Linked DNA regions of Mus musculus. The protein of the gene in region 3 interacts with the protein of the main gene of each other region in a biochemical or structural test. Links are inferred from orthologs where the notes say so. Each region holds a gene or a part of one and is shown on either strand. Other genes may lie near its edges.

Region 1 (4,428 bases), on a different chromosome or scaffold from region 3:
TTTATGGTCTTAATCTAGTCCCCATCCCGAACTTTATCTATGTCCTTATAATGAATAGGTCAATCATGAACATCTCCGGTTCAGGCTTCTCTCTTGACCCCCAGCAATGAATGGGACAGAGAATTTTATATTTCTTTTTTTTTTTTAAGATTTATTTATTCTAGACACTGTAGCTGTCTTCAGACACTCCAGAAGAGGGCATCAGATCTCATTACAGATGGTTGTGAACCACCATGTGGTTGCTGGGATTTGAACTCTGGACCTTCGGAAGAGCAGTCGGTGCTCTTACTCACTGAGCCATCTCACCAGCCCGAATTTTATATTTCTGGTTTATGTAATACTTAACTTTTTGATTTGCCATTTAAAAAAATTTGAATCCCATGAGAATATTCATAAATATCTTCCAATGTATATATATTACATACATGATTTTAACATTACATTTCCAGCAGACCATGGACGTCTTTGCTTTATGGTGGACATTGGTAACAGACTCACATACTACAGTTTACTCAGATTAGTGTTCACACTAAGACTTTGGCTGTCATTTCGAAGTCCTATTTTAATTGTCCGTTTGTATCTGTGTGTGTCTTTATGTGGGCATGTGCACAAGTGTGCAGGTGCCTGGGGAGGTCACGGGTTTCCGCCCCTGGAGCTGGGGTGACAGGCAGTGGCATGACACCTAACATGTGTGCTGGGAACTAAACTGTGGCCTCGGGGAAAACCCTGTGGGCTCCTGGCGGCTGAGCCATCTCTTCAGCTCTGGTGCCAAGACTGAACAAGGAAGTCAAACCTTCTGATGGTCTACCCTAATTCTGGGACACGATCTAGTATATATATCTACTGTCTGAATTGTTCATACTCTTCTGCTCTATTAGGGCCTGTGAATAAATTAGAATAAAAGGAATACAGTTGTTAATTTTGAGAAACATTTATATATGATATGTATCTTTAGATATTTTTAAAGACATATATAATGTGACATAGCATAATTTATCTGTAGTTTACTTACCATTTAACTCATCTACTTACAAATTATCAATCGAATGTTCAGTGTACAAATTAGAAGTGGGAAATGGTAGTGCAGGAGGGGAGTGTTTTAACTCTGCGAGTCAAACTCTCCACAGTGAAATAAAGAGCTTCTACTGGCATTTATATTCATATGCAGATACAAACAGAAGCTATGTTTTTTTTCCCCCTCTCATGACTTAAAGGTAGTCTCACCACCCAGGGCCCATACACTACAGATTGTAATAAACTGGAAAGCAATAAACTACAGCTTTCGTCTCCCTTTGCCCACAAAGACACTGGGACAAAGACTGCATGAATGACCTTTTTAGGCTTCACAAATGCAGCCCAGCAAACCCAAGGTTGGAAATACAGCACGCGCTGTCAGTGTGTCAGTTCACGGAGCCAGTATTCTGTCAGAAAATGCCATTCCTGTGTGCCGGAGTTACCCACGTGCATCTAAGACCATAAAGGCAGGAGAGGAGCAGGCAGGAAAAAAGGACTTACTAACCAGTAGTTGAGGTTCACGGTTTTCATCCACAGCCGCCAGCCCGGTTATCAGCTCCAACAGAACCTAGGAAGGCAAAGGGACCCATTAGCAAAACACTGGAGACATCAGCAGAGATTAAAGGGCATGTGGACTGAGTCCAGGGACTTAAACCTGCTAAGCTAGGCTTTCTTGGGCTAACCAGTGGCCTGGAGCACTGATATTGATGGGATATGAGGACCAAAGAAACTCTACTCAACATCTGTTCTGGGATCTCTGTGCTCTATGCTTTTTTTTTTTTTTTTTTTTTTTCGAGACAGGGTTTCTCTGTGTAGCCCTGGCTGTCCTGGAACTCACTTTATAGACCAGGCTGGCCTCGAACTCAGAAATCTGCCTGCCTCTGCCTGCTGAGAGCTGGGATTAAAGGCATGCGCCACCATGCCCGGCATGCTCTATGTCTTACAGGGCCCTGGGGAGAATCATATTTTCTAACCAGTAGCCACATTCTACAACCCCATGCCTTAATATTAGGTGGGGTAAAGTTCCCACAAATGAAATCTATTTGGAGAACAAAGATGAAGACAAAGCCTCATTAATCTTACCCCACATTCTTTGCCTCTGGTTGTTAGATGATAAAATGACAGAAAAGGGAAGAGAAAAGAGATCCACGTTAGGTGACGTGATTGAGTTTGTGCGCGGGCTCAGCTTAAGGTTCGTTTGGATTCACGATGAGACAGTATTTTCTTGCAGTCATTAAAAAAGAAATCAACTCAAACATTTTACATATTGGGAATCACTCATAAACCTTCTGGTGTCACCAGAGGCTAGTGTGAATAGTTTATATATTTATATAGTGTTGTGTCTGGCCAGTAGATCACAACCTGGGTTCTAGCCTGGAAAGGCATTTTGGAAACCTGGAAGAGAAGAGGGGCTGGGCTGCGCGAGATAAGGAAGGAACCAAGACAAAGCTCTCTGCTCAAGGTTCAATTTTTACTATTTCGGCACTCCGTTATAAAGGAAGGGGGAGGGGCCCAATTCCCGCCAAATAATCTTGGAGTCCAGTAGCAGGGTGATCACGGGATGGCTTCGGACCAGCAAAGCGGCAGGTTCCAGCAGTGGGCGTGGCAGAAAGATTGAGCGGGAAGCTCCACCCCTGAGCAAGCAGGTTTCAGGCTGGGGGAGGGGAGACTACATCATAGGAGAGGAAAAAAAGACTCATGCACCAAAATATTCTAATTTAAATCACAGTTTAAAAAGAATGATCATTGGTTGGCAGGATGGCTTAGCAAAGTAAAGGCTCCTGCCACCAAGCCTGGCGACCTGCATCTGACCTCTGGAACCAACATGGTGGAAGGAGAGAACTGGCTCCCGAAAGCTACCCTCCCTCCGGCTCTTGGCATGCATATGCCGTGGCATGTGCACGTACACACACACTATAAAATACGCGCAAAACAATAAAGACAGCGATCACGTACCACGCCGAAGCTGTAGATGTCAGATTTGGGTGTTATTTCTCCCCGCAAAGCTTCGGGTGCCATGTAAGCCGTTGTGCCCACGATTCGGCTGGTCATGACCGTCTGCGCTAGCCTTGCCGAAGCCCGTGCAAGCCCAAAGTCAGATATTTTGGCAGTAAAGTCTTTGTCTAGTAAGATATTTGCACTGGAAAACAAATTAAATTTGAAGGTGGAAAACATGCTTCTTGCCTAGGATATCCAACAGGTTCTTAGGAAGAGGTATATAATGTGATATATATATATATATATCATGCATTCTACATACTATATATTATATATTATATACGCACATGTCACATTGTGTGTCATTTTATATGTGCAGTAGAGAAGACTGAAATATATTCAAATCAGTCAATTATTCAGATGACAGCAAGAGAAAAATAATTGTTCTCCTTTCTTATCTTGGGAGATGTTGAAGGGAATAAAGACATAATAAAATTTCCTCTTAAGGGAGGTGCATTTTCAGCATGACACTGATAGCTATTTACTAGTAACAACACACAAAGCCTTCCGAGTGGCACTTTCTCTTAAAAAAAATTTTTTTTTTAGTGGGTCCGGTGACCAAGTACCCCACAGTTCACTGAAGCTAGGCAGTGGCTTTTCTACTGAGAGATATTCCTAAGTCAAAAGCACCCACTGGGGTATATGGACGTCTTATGCAGTACACCGTGGTGGTCCAGTCTGGCCCACAGTGTGTAAGAGTCCCATGGGACTTGGAACATGTCAGCCTCTACATGTCACCGGCCGTTTGTATGTGCTGGGAGTCTGTGTTCTCACAGCTACACAGGCCGTCTGAGCCTATAGTTCTACTGAGCTGAGGAGGATGCAGAAGCCATGGCTCGGCCTTGTTTAATGATGTCTCTGTCTCCTCTCCTGACCTCCTTGCCTTGTATCCAACACTCTTGTATTCCCAAGTTCCCTGAGACAGGTTTCTAGAAATAAGTGGGAACATGTGATATTTGTCTTTCTGTGTCAGGGTGAGATGAGTCTCAGGTAATTTCTTAACTCCTCTCCTAACATTTCTCCGTACGTTTAGGAACAAAATTCGAACCAAACCACTGCAATCTTTCTCCTGTCCTTCCTTCAAAATCCCTGGGATGTGTACACACACACACACACACACATACACACACACACATTTATATATTTCCTAAATGACATATCTGCTTCAAGTGTCACAATATCACGAAATACCATAAGACGTCTGTTTACATTCCCCTCCCAGCTTTCTTCCTTCCACTCTCTCCTTCGTACAACCCTGCTTCTAACTCAGTTCCTGACTGGAAATGGTTCTCCATAAGTCACCACTGACCTGCGTGGTATTAACCCGATGAGTTACCTTTCTTCTGACCAGCCCTCTTGGCAAACTTCTTCATTTTGGTGACGTACACTTCAACACTCCATGTACAGGCTTTCATC
Region 2 (4,428 bases), on a different chromosome or scaffold from region 3:
TTATCTCTGGAACACAGCCTCTTTGTGCTCTCAGAAAACACTTCCCAGAAGATGTCACCTCAATGATGCTGGTCTGATCTTAATCACCACTAATTTCTTAGGTCCAGCTAACCAGCATCAATAGTTCCAGTAATGCAAAGTTTTTGCTTTAGTAGTTTTGGTATCTTGTTAATCACAGATGATTCTTCAGGCCCAGCTAACCAGAACCACAGAATCTTCACAATCCAAAATAGCAATGGCCCTGAAAAAGTCTTTAATTTTCCCTCTGACATTTCAAAAGCCAGGCCTCCATCTTCTGCACTGTTTTCAACATTATCTTCCAATCTCCTACACAATGTCTGACAGAGCACTTAACACCGAATGGATCTTCTAGCCCAAAGTTCCAAAGTCCTTCCAGAGTCATCCCCAAAACATGGTCAGGTTGTCACAGGAATACCCTACTATGCTGGTACCAATTTGTTTTAGTCATGGTTTCTATTCCTGCACAAACATCATGACCAAGAAGCAAGTTGGGGAGGAAAGGGTTTATTCGGCTTATACTTCCATACTGCTGTTTATCACCAAGGAAGTCAGGACTGGAATTCAAGCAGGGCCTTTCCCCCTTGATCACTAATTGAGAAAATGCCTTACAGTTGGATCTCATGGAGGTATTTCCTCAACTGAAGCTCCTTTTTCTGTGATAACTCCAGCTGTGTCAAGTTGACACAAAACTAGCCAGTACATAGTAGCTCTGCCCAGACGTGTGCTGAAAACCAAATCCCTACTACTGATGTCAATAGTTAGAAAATTATCTGTAATTTTTGTTGCTCAGAGAGGAAGGTAGGAGGTAGTGCCCCCTCCCGCCACCCCCCCCCCAGGGGTCCGAGGGAGAGACTACCCTCTGCACTCTGCAGAGGAGGACATGGGGGCACAGAGTAGCTAAATGTTTACCAGGAGTTTAGGTCCCTCGGTCCCTTCCCCCTCTTCTTTATTTTCTTTTTATTTCATGTGTACGTATGAGTGCCTGTATGCATATATGTGCACCATGGGTGAGCCTAGTGCTCTTGGAGGCCAGAAGAGATATCAGATTCCCTAGAACTGGAGTCCCAGGCAGTTATGAGCCACCTAATGAGGGTGCTGGGAACCCGAGTCCTCTGCAAGAGCAGCAAGTGCTCTTAACTTCAGAGCCCATCTTTAAACCACACTGTAATGACATTTAAATGAGGTTAAAAAAATCAATACATATTTTAAACATACAGCATGAAAGCATAATATTTAATCTAGTCATAGCAAAGTCACCAACAACAGATTTTTAACTTTTTTAAAGAAAAAAAAACAATAATGTTATAGTACCTGAAACATATCAGTGTTGCTGTCATGAGTATATTCAACCACCACCGTCTGGGCTCGAGATAAAGTATATGATATGCTATGCTGGTCCTTGTTGCTTATTGCCTATGAATGAAAGGGTTAACAGCAAATATTAGCAGTCATTAAATCAGAAAAATATCTTCATTAAAGAAGGTAAAATGTTCTCTCTGTCTCACACACACACACACACACGCTGGAATTTTGGGTACAGGCAAGAAACTCTATATAACTTCAATTGTGGTTTCCTCAGGTTGAGGGAATATTTTTTAATAGTCATGGAACAAAAACATAAATTTAAGCTTCTTAAGAATCTGTGTTTCTCTTAAAAGCACTTTAAATTCTAAGGGAATTAATATCAAATACCACATGGAAACTAAAACCAACATCCATCTCTGATAAGGAAAAAATTCAAAATCTTGCAAGAAAAAAATTTTTTTAAAGTGACATAAAAATTTATATATACAGTTAAGCTAGAATTATGAGTTCATTTTTCTAATCCTACAGATGACAAGTTTTATCATATTCCAGATCAGATACAGAAAAATCTACAGGATGATTAAACATTACAAGAAGAAATAGATGTATTTCTGATGGCCATATTTTTGACTTATCCTAAGCTGAACTGCTCTCCTAAAAGAAGTGCTCAGCTTCGTTTTCATATGTTAATGAGTTGAAGATAATATCAGAAGGGGAAAACCTAGTTATTGCACAAAGAAGGTTTTATAAGAGGAAAACAGATAAAAAGATACAAGAGTAACTACACATAGTAAAAAGGGGAAATGTTTGTTTTTGCTTTTTAGGTAATCTGTAAAATAGGTAAGGCCTTTTGAAATTCTAATATTAAAAAATTATTTTTCAGCCGGACATGGTGGCGCATTCGCTGCATACACATACATGCATGTGCACACACAAAATGAGAAAGTATTTTAGAGGTAGATTATAAACATCTCCTTGCCAGTGGTCCTCAACCAGAGACCAGATTAAACACCTAAGAGGCATTTGAAAATACTTAAATGCGTTTGACTGTAACAATAATGGCAGTGATTAAATGACTTTTAGTACACGGGACCCAAGAATTTCAGTATCTTGTAATGCATGGGACAGTTCTGCACAATGAAGATGTGGTACATTCCAGATGCGCAAATACTACAGAGCAGCCCAGACTGAGCTGCAGCGTCTACTGAACACACGCCTTCTCTACAAAGGAACAGGAGGAAACAGGTTAGAAGACCAGCCCTTCTACAGACTCTTCGGCTCTCAAACAGTAATCAACGAGCAGCCAAATCAAGGCTTGATATCTAACTTTGATATAAAACAAGGCTGAAATCTAATCAACTTCAATTTACCAGTTCTAATGCAGCTCATTTATTTAACCTAACAAGGACCTAACATAGATGATGTAATGCTTATGTACAACTTCTAGAAGTCAAGGAACTCTGTAATTGTTCTTATCTGGACCCCACATTACTGAATTAATTCAGTCTGTGCTATAAACTGGAAAGAGAAATTCCAAGGCAAAATGAGGACTGAAAACTTCCTCTACTTTTACACTGACTACTTTTAAACTTACGGTTACATTTCCTCACCTGGCCTCTAAAACTTGGTGAGGAAATGAAGTGGGCTGGGAGGGCTGACAAGGCCTCGAGGGTGAGAAGTTACACTGTGGGCACTGCTGAAAATGTGCTCCCATTGCACATGGAGGTGGGGCAAAACATAAGCATGTCATATGCCAAGAAGAAAATAAACCCAGAGAACTCAGACAGCCTTAGAGAATCAAGATATTTTCTTTTGATTTCTACCTGCCTCTGGTCTGTCATTTTTAATGCGGAATTCCATATGGCAGCTTTTCAAATACCATCAATTCAAAACAGAAATGTGAAGCACTGCAGACCACACATAAAAATATTTCAACTTTCCAAGTTAACTTCTTTACAACTTTATCTTACCTTGGCAGCCTGAGGAGTACATGCAATGTGCACGGTGCTAGGCTTCACCCCATTTGCCTTAGGTCTTTTAAACAAAGCAAACCTACTTTTCCTCCTTCCTCTATCACCGTTTGGGAGAGATCCATTATATCTGATAAGAAAGGAAAAAAAAAGTTTAGCTGGTCTCTTGTAAGGATCACACTACTATGAAGCAAAGTTATTGTTTGCCTCCACGTACATTCAATCCTTGATGACCGCAGATTCCTTCTAGCAACTGCTCATCTCCAGAACAGCTGCATGGGTCTGAATCAAAATGAGGATCTGTCTGGCTATGTTTTGAACCACATAGAAGTATTGTACACAGCTTTAAGTTATCTATATAAGCAAGAACTGAGTAACAGAAATATTGTGATATATTTTAAGGTATATTTTTTTGCAGCAGTAATTGAAACAGATTCTCCTTTAATTGTGAACCCAACACCATAATGCTCAACTTCTGAAACAAGCAGTGTCTGGCCTTGTAAAGTCCTAACTACCTGAATAGAGCACTGGTGTGTTGTCAGCTCCTATCCAACTGAGTTTTATTCCAACTATGTTACATCTACATCTGCTGCTTCACTCTTCCAATCATTTCTCTAGAGCACATGTTAATCTCATGGCAAGCAAGTAAGACATATAAAACAAGTGCGGAAAAGTGAAAACAAACTTAAACATCTGGGCATGTATCACACACCCAGGAAGCACTGAACTCTACGTCAATTAACCCTACACTCAAAAGCAAAAACAAACAAAACCTGCTAGGTTAAACAGGCATACAGCAATTAGTTTTCTCAAGTCCCAGAATGACACTGGCAAACCAGAATATGAATCCATGTATGACTGCTACATATGACATAAGCTGAGTCACCTGGGAGGAGGGTGTCTCAGGGAAGAACTGCCTCCATCAGACTGACTGTGTAGAGGCATTTGAGGGAAATGGAGTATAGTCTGTTGTGGGTGTTCAGAAGACAGTATGAGCGGCATTAATTATTGATTATTGATACAGCAGGGTCCAGCCCAGTACAGGTGGTACTACCCATGGGCAAGTGGTCCTAGGTTATGTAAGAAAGCAAGCTGAGCAAGCCAGTAAGTAGCATTCCTCCACAGTCTCTGC
Region 3 (5,074 bases):
CATTGAGCAGAGGGTCACTGTCTCCCTGGCCATATGACTTTCTATAGCTCTTCTGAGCCCCTCCTCACCTCTTGATGTCTCCATGGATAAGGCTGGGGCTATCCTGATGTAAAAACTGAATAGCCCGGGCTGTGCCCAGAAGAATGTCCAGTCGTTGAGGCCAGGAAAGTGGGGAGCAGGCCTGGGTCTGGAGTGACAAAGACAGAAGCACAGAGGCAGCTCAGGGCAGCTGTTCTTTGACCCCCCCCCCCCAAATTCCCCTCACCTGTCACTGTGCGGCTTGGGGCAAGCTTTATTCTGAGCCTCTGGAGAATGAGGAGTAAGACTGTCTATGACCTAATTCACGAGCAAGTGGTAGCTAAAGCTATACCGAAGGTTTTGGCAAGCACTCTACAGCTGGGATACCAGCTAGGAACATTTCACAGGACTCAAGACAAAATGTGATGGGCTCAGCTCTACCTAACAGAAAGTGCTGGTGCCCTTCTCCCTCTCCTCTCTCAAAACAGTTTGAGAAGGAAGCTCTTATCCTGTATATGTGGTGGCTTGTGAGTATGACATTCAGGCATGGCTCAAGCTTGGGTTCAGTCTGACAGCCTGTCTCCACTGGTCCTCATTCCTCAAGAGCTATATGTGGACTAAATACTAAATCCTTTAGCTACTCTGCTTGCAAAGCCAATAACTCCCAATAGAGGAACAGTGGGGAGAGGACAGAGGAAAGAATTGTATGGAAAATCTTGGGCCAAGCTGAGTGTAATGTAACTCTAGCATAGAGCAGGCTGACGCAGAAGAATTGCCAGCTTGAGGCTAGCCTGAGCTGGGTAGTGAGGTATTGTCTCAAACAATCAAGCCAGTAAAAAGGAAGAAAGAAAACCCTGGGCCAAATCTTGAGTTTGAGGGGGAGCCAGAAGCCCAAGTCCTGCCTGACACAGGCTAAGGGGCTATGCCAATAAAGGTGCCAGATCAGCAAGGACTACCTGAAGGTGGAGCTGATCCTCCAAGGAGCCATTGGGCAAGAAGCCATAAACAAGGCAGTATAAGCCACTCTCTGCACAGTAGCCAGCAAAGTCTACGATATTTGGGTGACGAAACCTGTTATAAAGAGTGGAGTCTGAGTTCTTTAATTTTCTGGGTTCTACTACTTTTCATCAGGCCAGGCTAGGTAGGCAGCACTTGATGTTCCCTCACCCATGCCAGGCCAGGCCTTGAGGGCCCAAGGGAGCCAGATCTTGTGTTGTGCAGTCCTAAAGACTGATGAGGCCGTGGTGTGGCTCACCTTGTGCCCCTAGACAGGAGGGACCCCCAAGGCTCACCTTGATAGCTGTTCCACCTCTGTTAAGAAGCTCTGTTTCACCATAGTCCACTCTAGGTCAGCTTCCTGTAGCCCCAGGCATGGTGGGGTAAGAGGTAGGGAAAGTAGGTGACATGAGCCAAGCTTGCCAGTTGTTTCCAGGCCCAAATCTATGGAAGGCTTGGGGTCCTTGAAGGAATTGCTTGGGGAGGCTGGAGACTGCAGAAGTGAGGGGCTGATGGAGGGAGGAACTAGACAAATAAGGACTGATAGATTGTCTTCCAGGTGTCTACCCCAATGTTACACCTACCTCCTTCAGTCTCTTCACAGCATATGTAGTATTTCTCATGACTGCTCGGTACACACATCCAAAACCACCCTCTCCAATCCTGAGTTCTTCAGAGAAGTTGCAGGTGCCTTGGGAAATCTCACAGAAGGGCCAGCAAAACGGGGAGGGATGGGCTCTTTGGAGGCCAGACACTGGGCTCTCTGGGCTTGACTGCTGGAAGAGACCATGGACCAGGCGAGGACCCTATCTATTCCCTTTGGTCCAGGTTGAAAGCTCCCTTCAACACTAGTTGTCTCTCAGATGACCTGGCTGTGCTGATTTGGGCTCTGTGGTACACCAAAGGTTAAGTTTCTTCCTCTTTGTCTGGAAAATTCCCTGGGGGTTAAGAGACACCTACCTTGGTGGAGGAAGGGGCTGAAGATGGTAGTGGTGGCCCGAGGGAAACAGGGAGTGGAACCTGGAGGAGCTCTGACTCAGAATGGGTCTGGGAGCCTGGAAAAGCTTCATAAAGATGGCAGTGAGAGGCAGAGACCAGCAGCAGTCTACAGCCATGTCAGCAGTCATGGTGGCCTTTTCCTCAGGCATATCAAGCCCAACACCCGGGTTCTTTTTACCTGGGGAGAGGAAGGTGGAGGCAGAGGACTGCAATTTCCGGGGGCTCCAGTCCCCGGCCTCAGAGCCTGCAGAGATGCTGCTGGGCCTTGGGGCAGCGGTGCTTGGGGGCACAACGGGGGCAGGAGGGTGCCCTGGGATAACAAGGAAGGAAAGGAGGGTTGTGACTCAGAGCTCTCTATCTCTAAGTGAAGGGGTGGGGGGGGGGGAGTTCCCATATGGTTCCCTGTCTCAGGAAACTCTGTACCCGTCACCCCTCTTGGGTTCCCATCCCTAGGGTCCCTGGGGCTATGCTCGCTCACAGGCTGTGATGATGTCCCTCGCACGCAGCAGCTGCAGGTGCGTGAGGATGTGAACGAGGTCAGCTACGCGCGCGTTGCGGTTGATCCAGGGCCACAGAACACTGGCTGTGCGCTGCTCGGAGCGCTCGCACAGCCGCAGCTCTGTCTGGTCGCGCACGATCAAGGCCGCTGCGGGATGGGGAACATCAGGCTTCAGCTCCAGAAGCCTGAGTCCACCACCCCACGCCGGCCTGCCGTCACCCACCGAACTGGCACCAGTCGGCGGGCTCCAGGGCGTCCATCACTTTGTAGAAGCGGCACATAACCCAGGGTGGCACCTCGTACAAGAAGTGCTGGGCGCCTGGAACCACAGGCTCCCCGGGGCCCGGCCCCCCGGCCATGGCCGCCGCCGCCGCCCCCGGGCCGAGGCCTCTCGGGGCCTCGGCGGGCGCGGGCCTTAGCGGGCCGGGTCCGCGGACACTGACTCACTTCCCCTTCAGGCCGGCCTCGTGCGACACCCGGCCGGGCGGAAGAGGCGGCGCTCGACCCGCCGCCATCTTGCCCTCCGCGGCCTTCCGCCACACGGGGGCGTCCCGCGCCGCCCTTGACGCGGGGAAGGAGCTCTGCTACGTAGGAGGGAGTCCCTAATGGGAGAACCGAGGTCTGTGGTCCTACACAAACATCTGAATAGGGCTGAACAGGATGAAGAATGACTTCCAGTTCTAGAGACAAAGGGCACGATGTTTTTACACGATGTTCTACAAAGGCAGTTTATGCCAAGCCTGGTGAAAGTCACGGAGAGGCTACCCTCGCTTTAGTTGGGGAGCAGTTTGAGAGCCAGCCAAATTGTTGGTCAGTCAGGGTTAAATATGGGTAACAAAATGGCCCTCTGGCAGACTGTAGTCATTTGGTGATAAGGATGGATGCCCTGAGAATGGTCTGGAAGAGTGTATACCATGCTACTGCTTGTGTGCTAGATCTCCATGCCCCCACCACGCCCCCAGGAACCTTCCAGCAGCTGGGCCAGCAAGTGTTAGATCACAGAATCTGCCTGTGCAGGATTCTAATTAGCTTTCCAACTAACACATTTATGTCTCTTAACATACACATGGTGTTCGGCTCTAAATGTCCCTTTCCTTTTTCTGTCACACTTTTATCTTAGTTTGCACTTCTCTCCATAAGGATAGTAGGGTCTAGCAGCTTCTCCTACCCCTTTCTAGAGTAGTTGTTGGTGATACCACCTGTTGTGACCTTTAGCCACATGAATGAGTGTCTCTTGCCTATTCCTCTACTGTTCTCCATTCAGGGTTTTCTTTGGCCTTTTTGGTCACTATGACACACATCTCAGCGCACACTACTTTCTCATTATGCTCTCTGAAGTCCTCTTCATATGAGTGCACTACTCTTAGCATTAGCCATTGCCACTCACCTGCACAGACTGTATGGCTTGGATAGTGCTCCCTGCTCAGGTGGTCTTCCTCAAGTACAAATCACTAAAGCCCAGCTCTTTAAAAGAGCTGTTAGGAAGATGGCATAGCCAGCCTCTGTCCACCCACCTGAACTTATATACACCAACAGCCTTAAGCCAGATAGAACTCTTTAGATGTTGGGCTTGGTGGTACACCCCTTTAATTCCTGCACCCAGAAAACAAAGGCAAGTGAATCTCTGTGAATTTGAGGTTAGCATGGTTTAAGTTCCAGGTCAGCCAGGGATACAAAGTGCAACCCTACCTCAGATCAAGACCAAACCTGAAAAAAACAAACAAACAAAAAACAAAACAAACAAAAAACCCAAACCCTGTTTAGTAGGTGTCCTGAAAAGAACTTATTCTGTTCTGAAATTGAGTTTGCATATACACCCCTGCTGTAGCCATTCCTGATAAGATTGAACATAAACAGCTGTGGGGAAAACTTCCTAAACCCAGCTCCTCTCTTGAACACACCTTGAGCTTGCTGGAGTTCTGTACCTCTAAACTTTTCTCACTTCTCACTGCCCAGGGATGATCCACAGGCAGCAACTTGGTATTCCTTGTTTGGCCAGCTGAAAGCATGCTTGTAAAGCGGCAGCTTTCTTCTCCTGACCAGTTTCCCCAACAAACACTTTTTGTCATATCAATCCTAACTACAAAGGGTTCTCTCTCACTAGCCTGACCTCTAAGGAACTTATAGTATGTCTTCAGAAAGGTCTACACAAGATCCATGGCTGGCTCCCACTGGGGCCTCTTCTTTGAAGCCACAGTAATTGTGGCCACTCTCAAGATGAGGTCAAACTAGATGTGGTGGTGCATACCTGTAATCCCAGAACTCTAGAATCAGAGGTAGGAAGATAACTAAAATTTCAAGGGCAGCTTGGTTTACAATGCATAGTTCCAGGTCAGCCAGAGCTACACAGTGAGACCTTATTATAAAACAAAGCTTGGCATGGTGGCTCATATCTGTAATTCCAGCACTTGGGAGGCTGAGGCAGATCACCCTACATACTCAGTTCCAGGCCAGCCTAGAGTAGAAGTTGGACCCTGACTAAAACCAAAACAACCCAAGAGGTTAACCATATGCTGAGCTTCCAGTGGTTTCTCATGGGTCAGTCTATATTAAGATGTGCCA
Region 4 (4,428 bases), about 430 kb from region 3:
AAGCACTGACAAGGGTCTGCCTTCAAACTCTGAAGACTACTGGTCATCACCCTAGAGACCAGGTCTCTCTAGCAGAATTACAAGGCTTTAAAGGCCCTGCCTTTGGGCTGCATTTACTCAGGTTCTGATGATATCCATACTCCGGGTTATATAAGCCCAAACCCCCATAATGTGAGAACAAGACTTTATTTGGGGAAAGGATCTTGGTAGGTGGAATGAGTTAAGGGTCTTGAACTGGAGATCCTCCTTAATCTAATCAAATAGACCCCACATGCACAACATGGTTTCCTTATGAGACAGAAGAGAGGAAGAAACCACAAGGCCCTAGAACCAGAAACTGGAGTGATGGGTCTATGAGCCAAGCAACACCAAGGACTACCACAAACCACTGAAAGTTAAGAGAATGCCTGGAATTGATTCTCACAGCCTCCAGAAAAAACTTAATATGTGGCTTCCAGACAGGAAAGAGTGATTTGTTGTTGTTGTTGTTGTTGTTGTTGTTCTTGCTCTTCCAAGTTTAGGAAAAATTTTAAAGCAGCTATAGAAAAGTGATATATACCACCACAAAACTGGACTCAACCTAAACCAATAGTATTCCTAAAGGAAAATTATAGATTAGGTATTTAAATGAAAACACATAAGCAAAGAACTTGTTTGTTCCTTTAACATTTTCCTAAAGATCTTTCTGATAGATACCTGGGAATTAGGAAATGGAAAACTTACTCTGCATCCCCTGAAAATTCCGAGAAAGCCCCCAGCTCAGGATTACTTTTTAAATCCTTTTTTATAATCTGAATTCTACTTAGCCTTCTCACTCTTAATGGGAAAGAAACCATGTAAATAAAAGCCCCCGGGATGGATTCACAGATACCACTCAGAACCATGAAAGCTTACAGGAGGGCAGGAAGGATTTAGACCTAAGGAATGAGCAAGGCATATTTATTGCTTTCTCAACTACAACTTCCTTTCCTTTACTAGAACTGCAGGTCTAATACCAATGACGGTAAGGTCCCACAAAATGTCTAGAACCTTGCAAAACAAGTGAAGTGTTCCCTTTTCTGTGATCAGTCAGTCACTGCTAAATGGTTCCCTAGGACATTTTGGCTGGTGAAGAACATGTGATCACAAACTCCAGGAGTGTGATGAACTATGGCCACCACCATTCACAGAAGGTAACAATGTGCTTGGCAAAAACAAGAGCACACTGGGGCTAGAAAAAGGAAAGCATACATGTGAAATACCTTTCTGTTGACAAAGCAGTCATAATTCCAAAGTCAAAAAACTAGGAGTAAAGAATGGGTAAGTAGGAGTATAAAACAGCTTCTAGGCCCCAAAACACTAACAATCAATGTGGAACAAGGGGTGCACTTCTGTAATAGTCAAAACCAACCTGACTGATAATCAAAAAGCTCTACAAAGCCCAAGAACAAATGGCAATGTCCCAACAGAAAAATGGGTAGGAATTATGAAAATCCAAGTTACATCAGAGGAATTAAAAAGGGCCCACATGCCCCAGAAAAAGACACTTAAGCAAATTCTTTAGTAAAGAATGGTATATCTTAGAGATGGCAAAAATCCAAAGGTCTGCCCACCTCCTCCAGGGCAAGGATCCAATGTCACATCTAAGCATCTGTCCTAAAGGTACACACAGATCAGTGTACAAGTACTTTCACTACACCATTAATTACAGTAACAAAAGGACAGAATACTTTCCACATGTCTACCAGAGGTAACACATGTTATAGACCCAAGTGCCACATGCCCTGGGAGGAGAGCCTGCAGTTCACCGGCAAGAAAGGTACCAGTTGGAGAGAAGAAAAGCTGTACCCAGACCTGCTTGGAGAAGGGATGCTCCCTAAGAGCCCCTGGCCTCCATTCTAGACTCCCTAGGACTATGGGAGAAGAGGGAAGAAGCCACCAGAGGCAAACTGGATCAGGCACACAGAAAAAAAAAAGCCCTGAATGGGGCTGTCTACCCTAAATGGGGGACCAAAGGGCTAAAGCAAGCCCTTAAGTGTGGACTATGCAGGTAAAACAGGAAAGCACAAGTCACACAGATCAGGACATAGTACTGCAAGTGGCCTTGCATCTGCTGCTCCTACTCTATGCACTCCATGACATGTATCTGTAGAGTGTCCATATCAGGAGCCTGATACTGGCACTTCGGACAACAGAAGTCAGGAGGTTCTTCAGGAGGGCTCCTCCGCTGGTTGGACAAGGCCAAATGAAAGGAGTGGTGAGCTGAGAAAAAAGAACACAGGAGTGTGATGAACTATGTAAGTACTTCATGCACAGCCTAGGTAGGCCTCAAATGGAAAGGGGGGCTAACAAGGTGCTGAGACTTACTGATACCACCATATTTGACTACATTGCTGGGAGCCACCTCCACCAGCACATTTTTCCTTTGACCTCAGAGTGATGTGGGCTACTGACAGGAGAGGTCAGCAAGAACTCCCCAAAGCAGAGCAGCAGAGAAACCAACACATGTTTCCCCTCCCTAAGCATCTCCTCCCATCATCTACCACTTGTTCACTTACCTGGAGCAGGGAGTAAAGGAGGCTGGGGAGTCTCTACATGCCGCTTCCTCATATCCTCAATCCTTTTGAAAACAGAAAGCATTCAATCAATGCTTATAGGGTTTTTTATGAATAAATACATTCATTTAGATATAATTCATGTACTATATAAGTCCCCAATTTAAACCGTATTGTTAGAGGGTTTTACTCTATTCAGCATATCCAATCATCAGCCTAATTTTAGAATATTTTATCATCCCCCAAAGGAAACTTTGTACTTATTAGGAATTATTCCTTGGGTTCCCCTATATTAGTTTCCTCAGAACCTTGTTACAAACTACCACATACTTAGTAACTTAGAATAACAAAAACGTGCATGATACAGATGACTAAGTGCCCCAAATAAACGTGTCAGAGGACTGGGCAGAATTACCATGCCCACCCCCTAGCTGCCAGTGGTTTACAAAGTGTTTGGCATTTCTTGGCTTGTAGCTGAATCTCAGAGTCTGCCTTAGCCTTCTTGTGGCAGCCTTCTATTATCTTAATTTGGTGCTTCTGTAAGTACCACAGTCAACTAATTAACCTAATGTGACCTTATATTAACTAGTTACATATATAAAGATACTAAACCAAATAAAGTCATATTTTGAGTTTTTAGATAGATACATTTGCACTGGTTAGGTTTTTGTTGTTGTTGTTTGTCATTTTGACAAAAGCTGGATTCATCTGATCAAAGTCATCTGATATTTACTCAACTGAGTATATTAGACTGGCCTATAGGCAAGCCTTTGGGGCATTTTCTTCATTGATAAGAGAAGACCTAGTTCCCTAGAGACAGTGCCACACCTCAAGCAATCACTTAGGTTGCAAAAGCAAGCAAGCCAAAAAGTCGTTCTTCCAAGGTTTTGACTTCAGTTCCTATCTCAAGTTCCTATCCATCAAGTGGTTAGAGCTTAACGGGCTGCTCTGTGGGAGCCAAGGAAGATAAGAATGCTGACACCAAAGCAAATGAAGTTTCAGAGGGAAGCAAAGATTCTATCAGCGTCATTTGTGTGGTATTTTGAATTAAGAATCTGCAGTTGAAGTCAGCTGAGGCTGAAGAATCAGGTGCGATGAACAAGAGATCAGCAGAACTCAAGTAAAACCTTTGCTTTACGAGGGAGGACAACTAATGCTGGTTAACTGAAGCTGAGAAATTAGCTGTGATTAAGAAGAAAACAGTATCACTGAGGTGAAATCTTTTAAAATCTAGAGAGTATCTCCTCAGGATCAGCACACAGGAGAGGGGACCAAGTAATATGAAGGCATCATGGAAAGCAGCTAAAGAAAGGGCTTGGCACTATTTCAGAGGTCAGGAGAAGGTGCACCCTCAGCTGCAGTGGAAACCCTAGCATATTGGATGCCAGTAACATGGGACAACCACCATGGAGAGCAGAAGCTGTGGCAAGTTTGTAAGGCATATCTTCAATTAATAATTGCTGTGGGATGGCCCAACCTATGGTAGGTGGTGCCACCCCTGGGCAGGTGGGCCTAGGTTGTATAAGCAAGCAAGCAAGCTGGACAAGCCAGAAAGCAGCATTCCCCTTTTGACTATACTTCACGTTCTGCCTCCAGGTGCCTGCTCTGCCTCTGTCATGGATTATAAATTATAAGCTAAAATAATCCCTTTCCTCCCCAGTTGCTATAAGTCATGGTCTCTATCACAGCAACAGAAACCAAACTAAAACACTATGAGCAATCTACAGATTCAATGCAATCCCCATCAAAATTCCAACTCAATTCTTCAACGAATTAGAAGGAGCAATTTGCAAATTCATCTGGAATAACAAAAAACCTAGGATAGCAAAAACTCTTCTCAAGGATAAAAGAACCTCTGGTGGAATCACCATGCCTGACCTAAAGCTTTACTACA
Region 5 (5,032 bases), on a different chromosome or scaffold from region 3:
TTTATTGGGAGTTGGGATTCTGAGTCAAGGCCACTGACCCAGGTCCATGAGGAAGTGTTCGATGTCTTCGTAGAGACTGTTGGTGCTAGACAAGCACAAGCCGAGACTGCTGCTGTCCAGGGAGGACACACCCTCACGCTGCACGCCCTCCAGGTATGCCTTGCATACCCATGGCTCCAGCTGTGGAAAGGACATGTGTTAAGACTCTTTCTTACCTAGCAGCCCACACCTTCCCTTGGCCCACCCAGGCTCTACCTTCACCAGGATCAGGGTCTTCTCCTTGGGCCTCCCTGCTGACAAGTCTTGCCCAAAACCCAGGTAGATGGTGTAGTGTGGTGACCCTTGCCGCCTCCGAGCCCGAAACTCCTCCAGTTCTGTTAAGGAGATAGCTCTGGTGAGCAGGTTAAGAAAGGCTCCAGGCCCCAGAGGACAGCACCCCAGCCAGACACCTTACTGACCTCGGAAGAAAGTGCTGAAGTCGAAGATGGGGGTGTGGCGGTTGCGCTCCAGCAGCTGGGGTGGGGTGGAGGGGCCGGTAGTGCCCATAGGGCTGCCTACCTCCCAGTACACCTTGCACTTGCCCATACGCAGGGCCCACAGTGACGGTCCTCGAAGCTCCAGCTGAAGGCCGGGAGACACATGCTGGAGAAGCGTCTCTGTGTAGTGCAGCTGCTTCTGATCTGGGAGCTCAGCAGGACTGGGAAAGATCACCGGCTGGGGCTCTGAAGTTCTTACTGCTGGGGCCATGGGGCTGTACAGGAACACGCATCTGGGGTGCCCCACCACTGCCTGTAGCACTGTGCGGCCCTTGTACATGATGGTCACATCCAGGAACCCAAGGCTGCGCTCTGTGTATAGACCATGCTGTGAGTGGTAGGTTTGGGTGGAGCATTTTGTCCCATGCCCCCTGCCAAGGACCCATTCACCTCCTACTGAGATGCAGGTGTGAAGGAGCAGTAGGGCAGAATTCTGCCCGGGAGGCTAGGAAAAGCTGTGCTAGCGCCTCCGCTCTAGATCCTCACCGGTGAGAGCTGGCTGTTGAGGCCTGGGACTGGGGACAGCTTCCACCTGCCATGCTGCATAGGGTTCCTCGTAAACACGGTCTTGCTCCTGGCCTGAGGGCAAATTGGAGCTGCCTGTCCATCTTAGCCCAGCTTCCCACCCCTGTCATTTTAACATCCTTATCTTTCCTCCTCCCAGCAAGGACTCTGTTGTCCTCCCTCTCATACAGCCTTGGGCAGATGGGTGTTCTCTAGCTTAGCCCCAGCTCTGTAACAGTAACTGCCTCTCACCAGGAGCCTGTGGTGGGACGGGGTCTGCCCCAGACTCGGATTCCAGTATGTGGCTGTACTGCAGAACCTGAAGCAAGAGGTCCCCGGCATCACTAGAAAGCAGAGGGCTTGGGGTTTGGAGCCCAGCATTTTCTCTTGCCAGAAATGATCCTGGGGACACACCCTGTAATAGACAGCATAGTGGTAGGCACCTGCCGATCCCCCACACCTAGGAAGGATGGACCAGATGTACCTGTGTGGGCAGAGCATTGCTGAGGCTCACTTCTTCCCTATTTTCCGTGGCTGGGCCCACTGAGGGAGAGGAGTGGGGAGGGGAGATTTGGTTACGATGCCCAAGCAGTTCCAAAAGTTCTCTATTTCTCATACCCTCTGTTCCCAAACCACCAGGTACCTCACTCAGCCCAAGGCTCTGACTTAGCAGGAAGTGTGCACTCCCCCTCCACCCCGACACACACACACTTTGGAAGGAGAGGAACTGAATCTACAACTAGTTTCAAAAACCACAAATCAAACCATTGAAACCACCAAAATGACAGAGGCCATGTACCTCCCTGGCCCATCCCTGTTTGTGGCACTGCTCACCAGTAGATCCAAGCTCCCGGCTAAGTTCGTACACCTTATGCGGATCAACTGGATCCCCTGAATTGTCTTGGCGCAAGATAAAACGCCCTGTGCTGTGGAGTGCACAGCGGAAGTTGGTCTTCCAGCCTCTTCGCTCTCTTCGCTCAGCAGCCTCAGCCTCTGGGGGTGGCAGGTTAACTCCACTAGGTGGCCACCTCCCTCGGGCCACAGCCCAGGCCTGAAGGAGAGGAGAGAGCATGGGTTGAGGCTGGATTCCCCCAGGAGTTCTGGCAGATTATAAAGAGGGCAGGACTGGGTACCACCTTGAAGATCTGTGCATCTTCTTCATCCAGATCCCTACGACCGAAATGCTTCCAGGGTACGCGGAAGACTGTGCGAGCCTCGTTCAGCCACTGCAGCCCCTCGTACTGGCCGCTGCTGACCTCCCCCAATAGCCAGTCTCCAAACAGCACTCGCTGGACCCCCCTGCAGGCAGAGCAGCCACGCTGGGGTTAGGGCTAATGTAAGGGACACAGGACCCAATACAACCAGGGTAGACATGTTCTCACCTCACTTCAGCCATTGCTCCGTCTACACAGGCAGTCTGGGAGAATCAAAGTAGATGCTACTACTCTGTGATGCCTTGTAGTCACTGGAGCAGTCAGCTATTGCAAATAAGGCCCCTTGGGTGCCTCTATGGTTTTAGGTTGTAGCCACAGATAGTGTGACCAAGTTTCACAAATGTGTTTTAAACGTTACAAGTGTTGGTAACAGGTAGGAATTTCAGTTTCACAAGTGTGACCCAGGTATTAGGGTGTTGAGGGTCACAGATGAGGTTTGAGAACTTGTGGTCACCTAGGTTCAGAACTCAGTGTAGATTCCTCTGCCAAGGTGGCTGTAGATGTGACTACAGATGTAGCGGGAGCGCACACGTGATGTCACAGGTGTTAATCCAGCGTCCGAGCCTGGATGGGCTGTCACAGGCTGGACCCTGCGAAGACACAAAAGGGGCGGGCCCAGACGAGTAAAACGAAACTGCATCTCAGGAAAATGAAACCTAAACAGTCTAAACAGCGCCCGGTAGCTGCTGGCTTCCCGCTGTCTCCACTGTCTCCATGCCTACCAGTGCAGTCCTCAAACTACACCCGACCCTTACTCAGATCCCAATCCCTGCAGACCCAATTGCAAATCCTGCCGGGACGTCTGCCCTCCTGTTTCCCCCGAGCTTCTCTTCACTGCCCTTCACTGATCACTCACTACTCTGTAGAGGGGACAAGAATTTCCCCTGTGGCACTAGCTCACCTCCCTCCCCGAGTGGCCCAAGAGTCCCACATACCTGGTACCGGAGCCGCCGGGACGGGTTTTATCTCAGTGAAAAGGAGGGTGCCAGTGCTTTTATAGTACTTCGGGCAGAGGCGGGGCAGAGCCCAGGCAGGGTGTGGCTTAAGGGCTCCAGACGTCACTAGGGTGTCACTAGTTTGTAGCACTCAATTGCAAATCCTTCCCTCCTGTTCCCCCCCCACCCCCCAGCTTCTCTTCACTGCCCTTCACTGATCACTCTCTCAGATTCAGTCTTCCAGGCTCTTTGTAGATTCAATGAGAGAGGCTGACCCTGCTTTGGACAGAACAGCCATGTCTTGGAGGACAGTAAGAATAGTAAGTAGGTGGAGGTCTATCTGCCAGGCTCAGCCCCTGGTGGAAGTGTGGGAAAGGTCTTTCCCCAGGACCTCTTCAGGAAAGCACATTGGGACAAGGCAGGGATACCCACAACAGTCAGTAGGTTTTGTTTGTTTATTTGTTTTGTTTAGCTGGCTGAAAAAAATCTTAGAAAGTGGAGTCTAAAGAGAGACTATGGTACAATTTGGCTTAACACTGAGAATGGTACAGATAAGAATATACCATCTGGGGGCTGGTGAGATGGCTCAGCAGGTCAGAGCACGACTGCACTTCTGAAGGTCCTGAGTTCAAATCCCAGCAACCACAAGGTGGCTCACAACCATCCGTAACAAGATCTGACTCCTTCTTCTGGTGTGTCTGAAGACAGCTACAGTGTACTTACATATAATAAATAAATAAATCTGAAAAAAAAAGTAAACTGGGCATGGTGGTGCACGCCTTTAATCCCAGCACTTGGGAGGCAGAGGCAGGCAGATTTCTGAGTTCGAGGCCAGCCTGGTCTACAAAGTGAATTCCAGGACAGCCAGGGCTACACAGAGAAACCCTGTCTCAAAAAACAAACAAACAAAAAACAACAACAACAACAACAAAAGTATACCATCTGGGAAGAATATACCATCTGGACAGAGGTTGAAGCAGAAGGATTGAGGCCAACCTGTGTTATAGAGTAAGACCCTGGAAGCTGAAGAGGCAGCTCAATAGTTAAGAGCCCTGGCTGCTCTTCCAGAAGTCCTCAGTTCAATTCCCAGCAACCATACGGTGGCTCACAACCATTTTTAATGGGACCTGATGCCCTCTTCTGGCACACAACTAAATATATATAATATATCTCCACAGTCAAGGGTTGTGTCCATCCTTCTTCAGAGAATCTTTTGTTTTGTTTTGTTTTGTTTTTGTTTTTTGAGACAGGGTTTCTCTGTGTAGCCCTGGCTGTCCTGGAACTCACTCTGTAGACCAGGCTGGCCTCAAACTCAGAAATCCACGTGCCTCTGCCTCCCAAGTGCTGGGGTTAAAGGCGTGCGCCACCCACCATACCTGGCCAAAGAAGCTTCTTATTGCAGTGGGTAGACCTTTAGGGAAGGGGGTGTCCTTTATTCAGTGATTAAATTGTCCTTGTTCCAGCTGGGTCAAGAAGCTAGAACTAAGAAATAGCTTAGTGGTTAGGGGCACGAACTGCTCTTCCTAGACAACAGGGGTTCAAATCCAGCACCCACATGGCAGCTCACAACTGTAACTCCAAAATTTGACACTGTCACATAGACATGCATGTAGATCATACACTGATACACATAAAAGTAAAAATTTAAAAACACCAAAACCAAACAAAACATTTAAATAGAAACTAGTTAAACTCAGAGGGATACTGAGAAGACGGAAAAGGAGGAAGGGGACTTGTTAAGAAGGCTTCCAACAAGGGGGAAAGAAAATGACAAGGGAGACTGGGGCATGGAAATCACCAGCCGAAATGAAAGTCAAAAGATACATTGTATGTATAAATGCAT

The links.
Region 1: of the proteins of Irak1 (region 3) and Irak4, one has a biochemical effect on the other in vitro, tested with the Homo sapiens proteins (2 studies listed by BioGRID). The link is inferred for Mus musculus from reciprocal best matches to the Homo sapiens genes IRAK1 and IRAK4.
Region 2: of the proteins of Irak1 (region 3) and Peli1, one has a biochemical effect on the other in vitro, tested with the Homo sapiens proteins (5 studies listed by BioGRID and IntAct, with this or other methods). The link is inferred for Mus musculus from reciprocal best matches to the Homo sapiens genes IRAK1 and PELI1.
Region 4: the proteins of Irak1 (region 3) and Ikbkg form a complex in vitro, tested with the Homo sapiens proteins (3 studies listed by BioGRID). The link is inferred for Mus musculus from reciprocal best matches to the Homo sapiens genes IRAK1 and IKBKG.
Region 5: the proteins of Irak1 (region 3) and Irf7 form a complex in vitro, tested with the Homo sapiens proteins (2 studies listed by BioGRID, with this or other methods). The link is inferred for Mus musculus from reciprocal best matches to the Homo sapiens genes IRAK1 and IRF7.

Annotation. Positions count from the first base shown.
Region 1 is NC_000081.6:94,560,172-94,564,599, reverse strand, and holds part of Irak4 (interleukin-1 receptor-associated kinase 4), read right to left. Parts: intron 3,155-4,428; coding exon 2,971-3,154; intron 1,583-2,970; coding exon 1,520-1,582; intron 1-1,519.
Region 2 is NC_000077.6:21,139,562-21,143,989, reverse strand, and holds part of Peli1 (E3 ubiquitin-protein ligase pellino homolog 1), read right to left. Parts: intron 3,427-4,428; coding exon 3,297-3,426; intron 1,435-3,296; coding exon 1,333-1,434; intron 1-1,332. UniProt on the Homo sapiens protein: E3 ubiquitin ligase catalyzing the covalent attachment of ubiquitin moieties onto substrate proteins. Involved in the TLR and IL-1 signaling pathways via interaction with the complex containing IRAK kinases and TRAF6.
Region 3 is NC_000086.7:74,020,875-74,025,948, forward strand, and holds the start of Irak1 (interleukin-1 receptor-associated kinase 1), read right to left. Parts: upstream 3,048-5,074; 5' UTR 2,872-3,047; coding exon 2,736-2,871; intron 2,725-2,735; exon of another isoform or gene 2,660-2,724; coding exon 2,492-2,659; intron 2,324-2,491; coding exon 2,192-2,323; intron 2,079-2,191; coding exon 1,975-2,078; intron 1,791-1,974; coding exon 1,599-1,790; intron 1,376-1,598; coding exon 1,311-1,375; intron 1,090-1,310; coding exon 975-1,089; intron 188-974; coding exon 69-187; intron 1-68.
Region 4 is NC_000086.7:74,446,030-74,450,457, reverse strand, and holds part of Ikbkg (NF-kappa-B essential modulator), read right to left. Parts: intron 2,600-4,428; coding exon 2,538-2,599; intron 2,242-2,537; coding exon 2,099-2,241; 3' UTR 1-2,098. UniProt on the Homo sapiens protein: Regulatory subunit of the IKK core complex which phosphorylates inhibitors of NF-kappa-B thus leading to the dissociation of the inhibitor/NF-kappa-B complex and ultimately the degradation of the inhibitor.
Region 5 is NC_000073.6:141,263,201-141,268,232, forward strand, and holds the start of Irf7 (interferon regulatory factor 7), read right to left. Parts: upstream 3,225-5,032; 5' UTR 3,190-3,224; intron 2,845-3,189; 5' UTR 2,437-2,844; coding exon 2,423-2,436; intron 2,340-2,422; coding exon 2,177-2,339; intron 2,092-2,176; coding exon 1,875-2,091; intron 1,584-1,874; coding exon 1,525-1,583; intron 1,456-1,524; coding exon 1,293-1,455; intron 1,116-1,292; coding exon 1,023-1,115; intron 849-1,022; coding exon 459-848; intron 375-458; coding exon 256-374; intron 181-255; coding exon 25-180; 3' UTR 1-24.